Macaca fascicularis: one gene and its partner. The protein of the gene in region 2 interacts with the protein of the main gene of each other region in a pairwise test. Links are inferred from orthologs where the notes say so. Each region holds a gene or a part of one and is shown on either strand. Other genes may lie near its edges.

Region 1 (3,817 bases), on a different chromosome or scaffold from region 2:
CATTTTAGAAAACATTTGCTTCTGTCATAGTTGCTACCAGATGAGATGGTATTCTTCCCTTGAGATCCTTAACATTTTATTTTTAGGTTATAAAACATACAAACCTTTTAGAAATTCTCAAGATTACATTTATTTTACTAATAATACTAAGTCAACTCCTCTTAGTGCCTTTAAAAAAGTCTTAGTTATTATAGTTATTATTATACCTTTAAATTTAAATGATTTTAGAATGGTCTCATTAACAATAGTTACAATTTGTATTCAAAAGATCACCACTTAAACATCAACGGATTGCCATTTGATTAGGAGATGAATAGCATAATTAGAAAACTTTTTTTGTTTTTTAATTAAACACAGATTTTTAATTTATTATTTTACTGGTTGACATAAGAGGTACCTATCATTAGGTTTTCTAATATATAAAGGCATATAAAGAGCTATTTGATAGGTATTTAATTCTAATAGAATTAATTACTAATAAGTGAAAAACACCTACAAGCACCAAAATGGAAGAAGTAGTTTAAAGAATCTAAAATGTGTTTCAATAATAGAGAAATATAAAAAGACGTCCTTTCCTATTTCTGCTGTAACAAATGGGGAAAAGAAGGCTCATAATCACTATTTCTTAAATAATATTGATAATAATAGTCAGATCATCATTATCTAATACAGATAACAGCTTAGTTTCCATAATCTAGTTTAATATTTTTATTTCATATCAGCAACTAAAACTCAGTTTAAAATAAATGTAAGTGAGAAAGGATTATTCTACTTGTCTTCATAGCAGTTGCCATAAAATATGGAGCCATACCAAAGGGAATAGACACAGGGATGACAAAGCGATGAAAAGCAGGTAAAACACTAATTTCTAACTACTTCAGCTTTGTTTCTAAAAAATGATGTCAATTGGTATATAATACTGGGGCAAGGGAGCAAAATTTTAATATGTTGGTTCTTCTCCTCAACCCCATGTTTTTTCCATTATAATAAACAAGATGATTTATAGTCTGGATGAATTAGCCTTATTCAGAAAATAGTCCTAAGAAAAACAAATCTACATTAAACTGCTTTCAGGTTTTACAAAAAAGTTTTCAGTATTTTTTGTTTATGCAAGAGAAGGCAATACACAAATTTATTAACAAAAAAAAATTTAAAAATTATGTTTTTTAAGAGACAGGGTCTCAGTCGGTTGTCTAGGTAAGAGTTGGCATGACCATAGCTCACTGTAACCTCAAACTCCTGAGCTGAAGTGGTCTATCCACCTCAGCCTCCTGAGAAGCTAGGACTGCAGGCATGTGCTACCACACCCAGCTAGTATTTTTACTTTTTGAAGAGATGGAGTCGCACTATGTTGCCCAGGCTGGTCTTGAACTTCTGGCCTCAAGCGATCCTCCTACCTTGGCCTCCCAAAGTGCTGGGATTATAGGCGCGAGCCACCATGCCCAGCCTTTTAAGAAATATTTCTTAAAAGCACATAGCCCTACAAAAATAATGTTGAATAGAACAGACTTACCTTTATATCCAAAATAAAATTTATTTTTCAATGTACAAATTAAAGTTTCTAAGAAACAGTGAGAGTTATAAATCAAACAGAAAATGATACATAACAAGCAAGAAATGGAAAAATAAGAAAAAGGAGAAAATGGCAATTAAAAAGATGAAACATTCAACATCATGTTAAAATGCCATTACTAGATACCTGTGATTTTTTACAAAAAAAATCTGAACACAGGATAATCAATCGTCTCTCTTTTCCATTTCAGGTCACATTTATAGAATGGATTACCTTGGAGTGCTGCTCTTTTAACTTCATTATTATACCCGGATCATCTTTTTTGCTAGCCATTAGCAATCTGAACATTTGTTCTCGATACTTGCTCATTATAAGTTCCAAGGCCGACTGATGTTCTTCCAGAGATGTACGCAATTCTATCAAGAATAATATTGTACTTTATTCCAACTTGAGTTAAAAGTACATAAAATTTTCCACTAAGCAACTTATGAATAGGACATTTTAAAAAGAAAACACAATGCACAAAAATCTAGCCATATAACAATAAGAGACACCAAATGAAGTCCCTTATTAGATTTCTGAATGAGCATTTTAACCTTATTTTTTGAGAATCATTTCAACAAAGATGTACTAAACAGCAATTAAATACCAGCCCAGGCTCTCTCTATATTAATACCAAAGGGCCACAGACCTCAAGAGTCTAGCAGAGAAAACAAGCATGTGGTTGGTGCAGAGTGGAGTGTCAGTCAAATAGATTTAAGAGATATCTGTGGGAAAAAATTGGTGGAAGCTTTGTAAAAGTACAGTGTGAGTTCCCTCAGTTGAAAAGTGAAGGAATGGACCTTCTAAGCAGGGAGGCATGAAAACAGATGATGTGTTTAGGAAGTGATTTGTGTTGGCAAGAGCAAAGGGTTCACGGTGAAGAAAGCTGTGGGAATAAGATTAAAAAAAAAAAAAAGGCTGGGAATTGATTTTTAGGGTCCCTGTAAAAGGTAATACATATACAATGAAAGTTCTTAGGCAAAAGAATTACATGATCAGGGCTGGGCACAGTGGCTCACGCCTGTAATCCCAGCACTTTGAGAGGTTGAGGCGGGCAGATAACAAGGTCAGGAGATTGAGACCATCCTGGCTAACACGGTGAAACCCCATCTCTACTAAAAATACAAAAAATTAGCCGGGCGTGGTGGCAGGCGCCTGTTGTACCAGCTACTTGGGAGGCTGAGGCAGGAGAATGGCATGACCCCAGGAGGCGGAGCTTGCAGTGAGCCGAGCTAGCACCACGGCACTCCAGCCTGGGTGAAAGAGCAAGACTCCGTCTCAAAAAAAAAAAAAAAAAAAAAAGAATTACACGATCAGATTGGTTTTTGAAATATCAATCTGATGGTCATATTGAAGACAGCTTGGACAGGAAGGGAGAAGAGAGACCGGAATCAGGGAGATAAGTTTGGACATTTCAGGCAAGAGACTGAGCATCTAATCTGGGGGCTAATGCAGTGGGACTGCAGAGAATGAAGCTGAGTTATTTCATAGCTAACAACAGCAGTGCTAACTGGATTATTGAGGATGAGAATCTAAGAGGATGTCAAGCAAGGCAGACGTTCAAATGTGGGACAGGATAAAGAGCAATAAATATGATTCAGGAATACAGACTAGAAACGGGATTAATGTCAAAAAGTAACGTATCTTGCCTTTGTTTTCTTGTTGCAATTCTCTGATTTGTCTGTTTTCTTGCTGGATTCCCATAACTAACGTGGACCGTGGCCGATGTCTTGCGACTTCATTAAGTTCTTGAATTTCTTCCTGATACTAATGGGGAAAAAACATGCAGGATGAAAATATCTGCAAATATATATATCTGATATATAAATACAAATATATCTGAAATATACATATAAACAAATATCTGGTAAGAGCTTAGTATCCAGAATGTATAAAGAACTCTTACAACTCAACAATAAAATGAAAATAACCCCATTTTTAAAAGTGGCAAAGGATTTGAATAAACATTTATCTAAAGAAGATATACAAATGGCCAATAAGCACATGACAAGATGTTTAATTAAAATAACTAGTCATTAGGAGAATGCAATTCAATATATCCCACTAGGATGATTATAATGAAAAAGACAATAACAATTGTTGGAGAGGATGTGAAGAAATTGCATGCAACCTTCCATACATTGTTGATGGAATGTAAAATGATGTAGCTCAGAGGTGTCCAATCTTTTGGCTTCCCTGGGCACACTGGAAGAAGAATTGTCAGGCCGCACATAAAATACACTAACACTAACGATAGCTGAT
Region 2 (4,292 bases):
TAGTCAAACACAAGGATGCAAAATCCTAGCCTACTCTTCAATTACTCATATAGGTTGAATATTAGCAGTACTAATATATAACCCAGATGTTACCATTTTTACCCTAATTATTTACTTTATTCTAACAATTACCCTAATTTATGTGCTTATCACAACACAACAATCATGTCTTCCCCATTTACTCAACAAAGCACATGAACCTGTACTTCTTGGCAGTCAAATTGGATTGAATCAGATTTGTAAGTGAAAAAAGCCTTGTTAAAAGTTCTCTCCATCTCTTTCCATGGTTAACCAAAGCCCTGTGCCGCTCCCTCAGTGCACTGTGGATAGGCAGGGAGATTATTTTGTTTTACTTCCGCAGAGTTCCCATCCCACCCAGAGGCTCCCGGCTTTTCCTGGTGTCCACCCTGGTGGGAGGGAGCCCTCGAGCACAGGGCAGTCAGTCCAAACACCCCCAGGTCTACAGGAGCAGCTGTACTCACCAGACCAAGGCTTCCTCCGCCGTCTTCCTCCCCGTGGCTGCCAATGCTTTCAGCCTGCAGAAGAGCGGACACAGGCACAGAGTCATGTCGCCCATTCTTGGGAAAAGGGTCAGAGAGGGCTGGTGTAGCCTTGCACACCCAGGATCTTTGGGATGTGCTCTGAAGAGGGCCTGATGCTGAACTTCCAGCTGGCGCGTGCCCAGGCGCCTGTCCCCTGAGTGCTGCCATTGTGGTTTTGGACAATGCTGACCAGCTCACACCTCCCCACCACTTTCCTTCCCTGCCTACCTGCTTCAGCCCTTGGCACAGGGTCTCAGTGCTGAGGACCTGACCTCCGCCTGCTCCTGCAATCCCATTCCCTGGCCTGCCCCTCCCCACTGCCTAGAGCAAATGGACCCACCTTGTGGAAAGTGCCCCCACCTGGGACACACGCTTCCCTGACAAACGCTTCCTTCGCCCCAGCATCACTTAGCAAAACGGCCCGATCCCCAGGCTCGCCTCCCACACCTCTCCCCCGCTGGGAAACAGCCCTTCCCAAAGCACCCAGGCAGGCACTTGTCACGGCTCGCACAGTCCCCTTGCGTCCACGGCTCTCCCCTGCTAGACCAAAGCTCCCTGAACGCAGGGCTGAGTCTTATTCATCACGGTAACCTGGGACGTACGTACATTCCATTGAATTGGGTAGAACTGGACCAGATGAAACAGAATGGAATATAGCTAAGGTAATTTATCAGGAATGCATACTGGAAACGGCGGGCATCCATGAGGAGCCCACCACGTGATGCCCAGTGCTGCTATTTGGGTGGGTACCGATGGGGCTGTGGCCACCTGGAGAGGTTTGAACAGGGCAGCCTTGGTGCAGGGCCCTTACTTTGAGGTGCTCTGGTGTGGGAAAATTAATACACATTTCTCTTCCTCCAACATGTGTTTAATGTTTAAACTGGAAGGAATTTTGAGTAGGAGTCCATGCTACAGGTTTAGTAGTAAAATCCAGCGTGAACTCCTTCAAAGGCATGGAGACCTGGTTCGAGTCCCACCCCTGCCACTAATGCACTCTCTGGGCCCAGTGTTCTGCCTGCACTGGGTGGCAAGCAGTGGACGAAACCTGCCTTGTCTGTGCTGCCTGGACGGTGCCTGGTGGCCGCCCTGCACACGCCTGACCCCACTCCCCATTCAAAGCCCCCCGACTTAGCTCGAACATAACAGTGATGACAAAGCACTGACTTGGGGAGAAGAAAGGGGTTTATCTAGCTTCAAAGTTACTTCACCCAATTTGGCCAAGCTTTCGTTATAGTGTGGAAGGAAAGTTTAGCTCCTTCCCCAACCCAAAGTTACCAAAAGTGTGTTTCTGATACATTTTTCCATGTGAAAAAATGAATGGGTCGGATCTAGGGCACTGGTTTGCCATGAAAGCTGTAACCCAATGTTGGTATCATGTCCTCCCTCTCCGAGAGTGGTAACTCCGAGGGCTAAGCTCTTCCACATGCAGGCCTTTCCCTTGGGTCAGCAGGGTCACGCTCACGCTGTGTCTAGTCTCCTACCCATTTGTTTCGTTATCAGACACTCAGGGGATTCTCCCTGAGGACAAGTGACTTTCCCTGGGCAGCGTGGAAGCACAGCCCTGCTGACAGGTGGTCCTGGTGGTAGAGACGCAGCGGGCTTTGGGGCCTTTCACGTTAGAGTTTGAATGTCTTGAAATGCTACCTTCAGAGTCACTGAGCTGCACACAAAGAGGTTACAACCAGGCCCCAAGCTCCTCCAGACCCCCAAAATGGAGCACCCGGAGTAATACATGGCTTCTGATTTTCACACATTTCAGGGTCTCCCATTCAGCCAGCAGAGCAGGTCTTTAAAAGGTCAAGAATATCAGAGGTATTCTTTTGCCTCCCTCGGCCACACATAAACTAACACTGATAATACACACACACACTAACACTAATAATAGCTGATGAGCTAAAAAAACAAAACAAAACAAAACTCATAATGTTTTAAGAAAGTTTACCAATTTGTGTTGGGCAGCATTCCAAGCTGTCCTGGGCCACACGTGGTTTGGACAAGCTTGGTCAAGATCATCTCATTTACGAAAAGCAGAGGAGGGCCCTGTGCAGAGGCAGTGTCTCACCCTGCAAGGTGCACTGCTTTGGCAGGAAGCCGTGCCCTCCACCCCTGCAGCTCCATGTGAGGGGCTGCAGCAGGGTCTGGCTCCAGCCCCGCTGGCTGGGCCCCGGGGTCTCTGGGCAGTACTCACGCGGTGTGCACCGGGAAGCCCATGGCCAGGAGGGGCTCCAGGAGCAAGGGGGTGCTGCGGCCCTTGAGCTTGTTGGAGACCTTGGCGTAGAGCTGCGTCTCCCCGGCTGCCATCTCTTCCTGCCTGTGGGCCAAGAAGCTCGCCTGCACACAGAAATGAGGAGATAAAGCAAGAGGGGGAGAGGCAAGGCTGAGGCTGTGAAGAAAAACCTCAAGCCCTTTTTGATCTTTCTGACAAAAGTTGATATCCTGTTTGCATGAGATACCGGTTTTCAGAATTCTGTTTGCAGGATGCTGGGTGCAGCGTCCACCAATCCTAACTGTTTCCTCCATGGGGTTCGAGGCTAAAGGTCCAACTGAGCCCCTGCATGGGATCAGCCTCTACAGGGACTTGTCTAGTGTTTGGGAGCAAGAACGCGTGAGAGCGTGGGGGAAGGAAGTGGGAGGAGAAGTCAGAGAATGAGTTCCCTCCTGGATCCTGCTGGCCCCCTGCCCTGACCCACCCTGGATCCCAGTCTCCTTGTCTGCAAACAAGACATTAAATCCCACTTTATCTATTGTCTCTGCTGGAAAACTTACTGGTTCTTTCAGTCATTCGTTGACTTGTTTTTTTATTTTAAAAACTTTAAAAGCTTAATATGTGTACAGAAAAGTTGATGAATCATAGGTGTATAGCTCAAGGAATTTCCATAAATGAACCCACACCCCTAATTCCCCCACGACCCAAAATAAAACAGGGCAACCAGGGGAATTTTGTACCTCTTCCACCTGAGGGGACATTTAGCGATGTCTGGAGACATTTTTATTTCCAAAATGAGGTGGTGGTGGTGGTGCTGGGTGGGGTGGACATTGCGGTACTGGCACTAGTGGGTAGAGGCCGGAAATGTCACAGTGCCCAGGACAGTCTCCCCAACAAAATGTCAGTAGTGCCAAGGTGGAGAAAGCCTGCTCTGGAACATTCTCAGAACCTCAGATGCACCTCTGCCCCCAGCCCAGCCTCCTCCAGTTATCTCCTCCCTCCCCCAGAAAGTAAACTGCTATATCGCTTGTACACGAATTGTGCCTGTTGTTGAGCCTCATATAAATAGAACCATATAGCATATTCTCTATCATGTCTAGTTTCTTTTTCCTCAAATTATGCCTGTAAAATTTATCCACATTATTGCTTGTAGCCACAGTTAGTTCACTGTTACTGCTGTGTAGTATTCGATTAATAAATATACCGGCCAGGCGTGGTGGCTCATGCCTGTAATCCCAGCACTTTGGGAGGCCAAGGTGGGGGGCGTGGACCACCTGAGGTCAGGAGTTGGAAACCAACCTGGCCAACATGTTGAAGCCCTGTATCTACTAAAAAATACAAAAATTAGCCAGGCATGGTGGTGCACACCTGGAATCCCAGCTACTCAGGAGGGTGAGGCAGGAGAATCATTTGAACCCAGGAGGTGGAGGTTGCAGTGAGTGGAGATTGCACCACACTGCACTTCAGCCTGGGACAGAGCGAGACTCCAGCTCAAAAATAAATAAATAAAATAAATATAACATAATTCATTTATCCATTTCTCT

Evidence for each region.
Region 1: the proteins of UBASH3A (region 2) and FGFR1OP2 interact in binary tests that used the Homo sapiens proteins (3 or more experiments, as listed by UniProt). The link is inferred for Macaca fascicularis from reciprocal best matches to the Homo sapiens genes UBASH3A and FGFR1OP2.

Annotation. Positions count from the first base shown.
Region 1 is NC_088385.1:29,706,259-29,710,075, reverse strand, and holds part of FGFR1OP2 (FGFR1 oncogene partner 2), read right to left. Parts: intron 3,323-3,817; coding exon 3,205-3,322; intron 1,930-3,204; coding exon 1,787-1,929; intron 1-1,786. UniProt on the Homo sapiens protein: May be involved in wound healing pathway.
Region 2 is NC_088377.1:4,618,489-4,622,780, forward strand, and holds the start of UBASH3A (ubiquitin-associated and SH3 domain-containing protein A), read right to left. Parts: upstream 2,858-4,292; 5' UTR 2,844-2,857; coding exon 2,731-2,843; exon of another isoform or gene 2,556-2,730; coding exon of another isoform or gene 2,485-2,555; intron 537-2,484; coding exon 483-536; intron 1-482. UniProt on the Homo sapiens protein: Interferes with CBL-mediated down-regulation and degradation of receptor-type tyrosine kinases. Promotes accumulation of activated target receptors, such as T-cell receptors, EGFR and PDGFRB, on the cell surface.